2 linked regions of the Schizosaccharomyces pombe genome follow. The protein of the gene in region 2 interacts with the protein of the main gene of each other region in a pairwise test. Each region holds a gene or a part of one and is shown on either strand. Other genes may lie near its edges.

Region 1 (3,931 bases), 1.0 Mb from region 2:
CTTAAATTATTGGAAATGTCTAACCGCTTAAGCTTGACACAGCGCTCCATGAAATCTAAAGGCAGGTCCAGCGATAAATTGTGCGAAACATTCAACGAGATAAGTTCATGGGCATAGGGATAGATCTTTACCGGAATAACCTCCAGGTTTGACCTACTAATGTCAAGGTTCGCAGTAATTTTTTTTTCAGAGAATTTACGCAATACATCCGCTCCAATATCCATCGTAGTAAACACCAATCTAGCAACACTATAATTATCTTCTTCATTTATTTCTTCATCGGAAGTTACCTTACACCCAAACAAACTCAATAATCGTTCAAATATAATGCATGGCTGTTCATGAGGCAACAAAATACGTTCTGTATTGAATTGGATTAATAAGAGGTAAAAATTAGCAGACGAGGGAAGAAAAAATAACCTTGCTAACAGCTTAATCACTTCATGAGTTTGTATGCCAATAGGGCAAATGAATGATACGGAAGTTCGATCATCACGGTATACTCGAAGAAAGAACTCTTTCTTTCTATTGCCCAGGGAAGGACGAGCAAAAAATCTAGTAGTAAAAACCTGCTTTGGAATAGCCTCAGTGGGCAAACTAGTTCCCCAACTCTCCGGAGCTTTCCAAGAATCATCGGATAAAATGGAAGGGTACGGTAAAAACTTCTTCCAAGGGCTATCATAACTATCTCTATGATAATCGAGGTCCAGGATATGAGCCGCAGAAGCAGGGATTCCATCATCATCACTATTCCTGGGTAATTCGTGTATGCTACCTTCCAAACTAGCTGGCCAATTGTTATTAAGAGAATCACGTTGAAACTCCACACTGTCACTGTCATCAGAAATCGGTTCTGGAAAAGTTAGATTGGTAAATGACTGATTCAGGTTTTTGTCGAAAGATTCTCTGTCCTTATCAATAAGTCTTCGAAGGCCTGCTTCTTTAGAAATTGCACAATTAGACGAGTTATTTTCTTTGTATGGCTTTATCCCAGCACTACGGGTATCACGTGGCACTTCAGACTTTTCAGAGCTTTCTCTTGCAGCTAAGGCGGTATCCGATTTAGTACGTCCCGTGTCAGATAAGCTAAAGTTCTCATCCGGTTCATAAAAATGGAAAAGCACGCTTTTGCTAGGTACTGCAGGAGTGCTAGGATAGGTCTTAAAAGCTTCGACAGGTCGTCCAGAATTACCGACAGGTTGAGTGCAAGGTGAAAGAGCTTCATGGGAGTCATTACAGAGATTTGCTTCGGTTATTTCTGGTATATCATAGTTCACAGACGTCGCTGAGTCATCGTCCTTCTCGTCAAGGTCATCAAGCCAGGATATACCTGTTTTAAAATGTTCAGGCGGGTTTGGAACAGCTGACTTTAACAATCGCTTGCTTTGATCCATTAGTGGCAATTTGCATCCTTCCTAAGAATCTGTAGCACCTTCGTTTCAAAAATACCACTATACGCGAATTTTGGACAAGGAAAATTCAATAATGGTTATATCCCTATCCAAGGAAGGAATATTGAATTTATAGAACTAGTATTTGCTCTATTATCCTAGTTCCAACACCAGCGTTTCTTTGTCTGATTATATCACTTGTTAGGTTTAGAACAAGAAAGGGTTTGGGTTCCAACACCTCATGTATCTTCCTAACTCTAAACTATATTCCAGAGTGGTAATTTCCAACACTATGTGTTCTCAGTGAATTAGTGAGGAAGAAACTGTAAGGCGCGTTCGAATACTGCGTACGTCACTATTTCATCGATTTGTAAACAAATCTACTGAATATACTAGATGAAGGCGGTCTTGAATTAATTACTATGATTTTTTTATTTTTTTTTTTGAAGGCTTTCCATTACTCCTTCCATTAATTAACATTGGATTTGACTGATGAGTTAAAAAAGCTTCTTTTATCAAAGTTTCAAACTGAGTTTTAAAGTATTCATGAAACTTTCATCTAATTTTATCCTTAAATGATACTCGCCCCTTAAATATAAGGGCAATACGATTGACTGTTTGAATGAGACGAAATGTTTGTAAAGTAACCTATATTTACAGGTCAATGAATATGAATTAAATGATAAAATGTCAAGTTTTGGTATATATATCCTAATAAATAATCAAGGTGTTTGAAGCATTAAAAAAATTAGTAGCTTAGATCACGTAAACTCCCATTGTTTAGCCTAAAGTGTTTCCCAACCTCCGGTGTCTGGATTCGCATCCAGTTGTCGAGCAATATAAGAAGGAATAGATCCGTTTAGCCACATCGTTCGTACTGTTTCATCATAACGTTTTTGTGATAGATATTGAGAGCGGCCACGACGCAATCCCAAATCTGTCTCTCCATACGCATCCAAAAATGGAGCTACAGAGAAGCTTCCTACAGGTGGATTGAGGTAGAGAATAGCGCATTTTTTGACAATAAGAAAAATTCCAATGTCAGAAGCGCATTGTTGCATATGAAGATTACATTCTCCAATACCATTAAAGGAACAACAATGACTTTGGAAGCATAAGAGCTTCCCACAAAATAAACATATCGCTGGTTCCATAGGTTCAGTTAAACATTTCGAGCATCGCCTGGCCAATAGTAACTCAAAGACTTTATCCAATTCATACGGTAAAGAAACTAGTTCATAAATTCCAGGGTAATAAGCGCGAGGAAAATCGCATAGAGGACCAGTCTCTGTAAAGAAATTACACCAGTGCTTTATAAGGCTCCATTCTGTGGAAGATGCCGTAAGACAAAGATGATTAGATAATTCAATAACACCTGGAATATGCATTTTTGTTTGTAAACGTGATAATTCTGAATTTTGAAAGTTTAAATTCGGTTGCGTCTCAAATGAAACTCCATAGCGGCAATACCAAAGCAAAGCACATTTTCGAAGGAAGATTAGAGAAAACCTTTCCAATAGTTTATACAGTGTAAACAAAAGATGAGGATTATTTAGATCATCCTCCGTACAACAATCAAAATTGATTAATCCTGCTCCGTCGACACGAAGACTTTTCCAAATTTGGATAACTAAGTGCTCAAACCCCTTTAGCTGCTCATAGTCAAAGGCTTCAAATTCAACTGATTCCATACATTTCAGTAAAGAGTTTCTTTGTGACAAAAGAATCCATAAGTTTCGAACTATATCGGCAGTATAGTATAATTGCGTCAAGTAGTGAAACGATTCGTCACATGATAATAAACCAGAGACACTGGCTTCGGCGAATTCTCGAAATGTATCCTTCACAAGTAACGGCTCAACTCTATCATCAGTAATAGATTTGGTAACCGGTGAATCTAGAGAGGGCAATAGTCGCCCAAATATCCTTTTTTGTTGGCAGAAACTAATAAATTCAAACTCTTGAATTGAACCCCCAATACGCTTCTGTGAATCATGTGCACATAACAAAGTATAAGTTTTGATAGATTCAGATAAAATCCTTAAAAAAACTTGCTGATTTTTTCCAAGATTATGCACCCAAATATCCGCTGGAATACTTGAACATTTTATGTGTCCTCTAGTAGATGCTTCAACTTGGCAAAGGCTGTATGAAAAGAGTTTAACAACATTATGCAATTTACCGTTCACTGGAATAAAATCATCGGAGTATAAAGAAGAATTAAGATCTATTACATCGTCAAGCCTCCGATAAAGCTCAAATATATCATCTGAAATAGCGAGACGTTCATCGGCAGGAACTTCATTATTTACAACACTCTTAAAATGGACATGATCCAATACGCTCGATTGGAATAAGTTATCCGCATTTTCTTCAACGTTATCACTGGAATTATCAGCACCAGTATTGAGGGTATATATATCTTTCAACGAGTCTCGTAAGGTGTGTTGTAATACATCAAGCAGATTTAAATTGTACGACTGTGTGTGCTCAGAAGGGGAGGTTTCTATGTCAAGAAGTTGCTGATTTAAGTCTTTATT
Region 2 (3,931 bases):
AATTCCGAAAATACTAGCAACTATGGCTCATCAAGAGATGAAAACGTCTATCAAAAAACGACGCTTTGGATGGGTGAATTAGAGCCTTGGGTTACTGAAGCATTTATCCAGCAAGTTTGGAATACTTTAGGAAAGGCAGTCAAAGTAAAGCTTATTCGTAACAGGTACACAGGCATGAATGCTGGCTATTGTTTTGTCGAATTCGCATCTCCTCATGAAGCTTCAAGCGCGATGAGTATGAACAACAAACCAATTCCTGGTACAAATCATTTGTTTAAACTTAATTGGGCCTCTGGAGGCGGATTACGTGAAAAGTCTATTTCAAAGGCCTCAGAATATTCCATATTTGTGGGAGACTTGTCACCCAATGTCAATGAGTTTGATGTGTATTCTCTCTTCGCATCTCGATATAACTCATGCAAGTCGGCCAAAATCATGACTGATCCTCAAACAAATGTGTCAAGAGGATATGGTTTTGTCCGTTTTACGGACGAAAATGATCAGAAATCTGCATTGGCAGAAATGCAGGGTCAAATTTGTGGTGATCGTCCTATTCGGGTGGGATTAGCCACTCCTAAAAGTAAGGCTCATGTTTTTAGTCCTGTGAACGTTGTACCTGTTAGTATGCCACCAGTTGGATTTTATAGTGCTGCACAGCCTGTTCCTCAGTTTGCTGACACAGCAAACTCAACCGTATTTGTTGGCGGTCTCTCAAAATTTGTTTCTGAAGAGGAGCTTAAGTATCTTTTTCAAAATTTTGGAGAAATTGTTTATGTCAAAATTCCACCTGGAAAAGGTTGTGGATTTGTGCAATTTGTCAACCGACAGTCTGCTGAAATTGCTATCAATCAGTTGCAGGGTTATCCTTTGGGCAATTCTCGTATCCGATTATCTTGGGGAAGGAATCAGAATCCAATTGCGGCTCCTGCCTTGAATTATCAGTCTCAGGTTTCACAAACTACTATTCCTGCTACCTCATTATTTCCGGCAATGAGTTTACCACCCCAGGCTCAGTTTAGTCCATATCCGGCTGTTGCACCTTCCCCCTTAGCCCTGCAAACGAGGGGTGCACCGATTGGCATGGAAATTTCGATTGGATCTCCTGCCCTCGTACCTGATCAAATGCATATTCCTGAAAACGGCAACTCTGATACCATGCCTGTTCCTAACACACAAGGAAAGCATTTATCAGCTGAAGAGTAATGTAAAAGTACTTGCGATTGAATTTTTTATAATGGCATGTCTCATACTTTTTATCATCATTCTTGGTTTTTATAAAGTATGAATAATTTTCCATCTATTCTAATAAGTTTGATGTTCATAATGAATCACGGAGAATTATTGTTTCGAGAAACGTGAGAGTTCTTGTAAACTCTATCTGTTATTTTGGACGTTAAATCAAGAGAGTCCCTTAGCATAATTGATTAATAAGCATTTTACATGTGTTCATGAATTCGAATTATCGAAGAAAAGCTTGAACTAAATTTTTGTTGGACATAGCTTCATTACGTTTCCTTTCTAAGGATTGACGGTTTTTATATTCATCTCTCCCTGTTTATGATATGAAATGCTACGTTTTTTTAGCCGAAATTTTCATTTGTCATGATTTTTATAGTCAAGAAAAAGGTTTTCATACGACGTATATAAAAGATTAAATTTAATAGTAATGATGGACTTCAGAATTATCGCACTGAGATTTTTAGGTCGCTGGAGAATGCAGTTTAGGCAAGGTATGTAAGTGCTTATTGAGATTTCCCATTGATAAACAACTTTTAAGTTGCTTCTGGTTTAATCATTCGTTCTTTTAGGTATGAGTTTAGTTAAATGATCAGCGCCATTTTCAAAACATTTCATTCAACCAAAAATCAACCGCCTCTAAATTCAATTTTATTTGAATGATACTCCCTATTTATCGAAAAATCCATTCAATTAAAATCTATTATTAACTTTTCATCCATTTAAATCTACTCCATTTTTAAAGCTCTTGTTTACAGAGTAACAACGCGACTTGCAACTTCTACTACGCCAGGGGGGCGACTGTCGCAATAAACAACTGACAGAAAACGCACTTATAGTATAGGCTCAAAATCTTTTTAAATCGTAGCCTTTCCCATTAATACGAATACATCATCAAATTCAGTTTTGCGATTAAGTATAAACGGGCTTAACTCGTGCGTTTATATACTTTGTCAACGCTGTGATTAGTATTCAACCTTTGACGTTACACTTTATTAACCTGGCTCGATACTCTTAAATAAGACTCTGGAAAGCGACAATTCTTATAATTAATTTTATTTTTTATTTTTTAACCTGTGAAAAAGTTTTAATCTCTAGACCTGGAACGATCATTAACATAATTGTGTACACATTATTGAAATCCAGCTTATAAATGAATTTTGATCTACTAAATAATTTACTCACCGATCCAAAGAAGCAGACAACATAAACCATCACCTATCGCTATTTTTACCTTCATCCATTAAATAACACCTTCATACATTCCGAACACCAGGTTTTTGCACTCTCTACTCAGCAAATCGGAAAGGCTTAAAATGGGATTCACTAGTGTTGAACCCCCAGATTTTTTTGATTGGACTGCCAGAGCTATATTTTTATTATCGACATTACGCAGTCGCAGAAATGCTAAGCAAATTGAGCGTGAAAATGCGCTTTTGGATCAAATCAAGGAGCTTTTAAGTATTGCCATTATTCAGTGTCATGAAAGAAATATTCCTTCGATAGATCTTCCCCCGTCTTTTTTCAATTATGTTTGTGAACAGCTACCCAGGCACCCTTTTGCTAAGATAGCTTCGAGCTACATAGATACGCATACTTTATTTTTTCAAATATCTATCAGCTCATTTTTATGCCGATTTTCAAACTGCTCAGAAGACGAGATCAGGCTTTTTAAGCAGCACCAGTCCCTTGATAGTTTTTTACTATCCTTGTTTGACCTCCTTTGTAGTCACCACTTTTCCGTTGAATTTACGTCCATATCACTAATTATCAAATCTTCGCAGTGGTTATTTTATACATTATCCGATTATGCTCATGAATCCTTAACAGGCGTTGAGGCTGATATTACAACGAAATTTCTTTCCACCCTAGCTGATACTTGGCCAGAATTCGAAGAGCAGTGTACTCTTAGCAAACATCTTTTTCTTTTAGGTGACTTTTCGCTAATCAGCTATGTAAAAGTTTTATGTGGTGTATTTAATATCCCTAACTACAATGCCTTCATTCTAAGTGTCGAGGATCTACTTCCGGAAAATATATCCTTTGCCGCCGTTGCTGATTTTCAGTTATCAAAGTATAGGGCAATTAACGACAATTCTGTATTAAGAAGTGACGATTTCTCATCAAAAGCTGTGTTCGACAAATACGTTGAAAGGGAGTGTTATTACTCAGAAAATGCTATTAGTAAAATTTTTCAAAACTATCCTGATTTGGCTGTCCTTTTTGAAGAACTACAATATGCCGAGGGAAACAATGATCTTCTATCTGCGATTTTGAATACCAATAAATATACTTTGAGACCTGATGATTGTGCTCCATACTTTTATCGTTTAATGGATTTGTGCTTACGTTATTGTTATAGCCAAAGTAATGAAATTGGTACCAACGTTTTATGGAGCATGACTACAAGTTTCATCAACATTTGGCGTATTCATCCTGGAACATGTTGTTGCGTGGTCTTAAGTATATATTGGCCTTATCTTGAGGATAAACTCCTAAAGTTTTCGGACCTTGGAGATATTTTTGAATACTTCTTTTCTTTAATTCATGATTGTGATTATGCGATTTGGTCAGTCCATGACGAACACCAATTTTCGGAGTTATTGGCGTTTTATCATAGAAGAGCTTTAAATGACTTAGTAGAAGAATTGGGGAGCTGTCCTCGTTCTAGTGATTCTTGCCGAGCTATCCTTGA

Evidence for each region.
Region 1: the proteins of git1 (region 2) and cyr1 interact in binary tests that used the Schizosaccharomyces pombe proteins (3 or more experiments, as listed by UniProt).

The regions. Positions count from the first base shown.
Region 1 is NC_003423.3:2,817,471-2,821,401, reverse strand, and holds the start of cyr1 (adenylate cyclase), read right to left. Parts: upstream 1,601-3,931; 5' UTR 1,395-1,600; coding exon 1-1,394. Other genes in the region: N-end-recognizing protein, UBR ubiquitin-protein ligase E3 Ubr1, read right to left, coding at 2,177-3,931. UniProt on the Schizosaccharomyces pombe protein: Acts in glucose-induced cAMP signaling by catalyzing the synthesis of the second messenger, cAMP to activate PKA signaling and repress sexual development and gluconeogenesis.
Region 2 is NC_003423.3:3,833,115-3,837,045, reverse strand, and holds the start of git1 (C2 domain protein Git1), read left to right. Parts: upstream 1-2,055; 5' UTR 2,056-2,552; coding exon 2,553-3,931. Other genes in the region: splicing factor Cxr1, read left to right, coding at 1-1,203.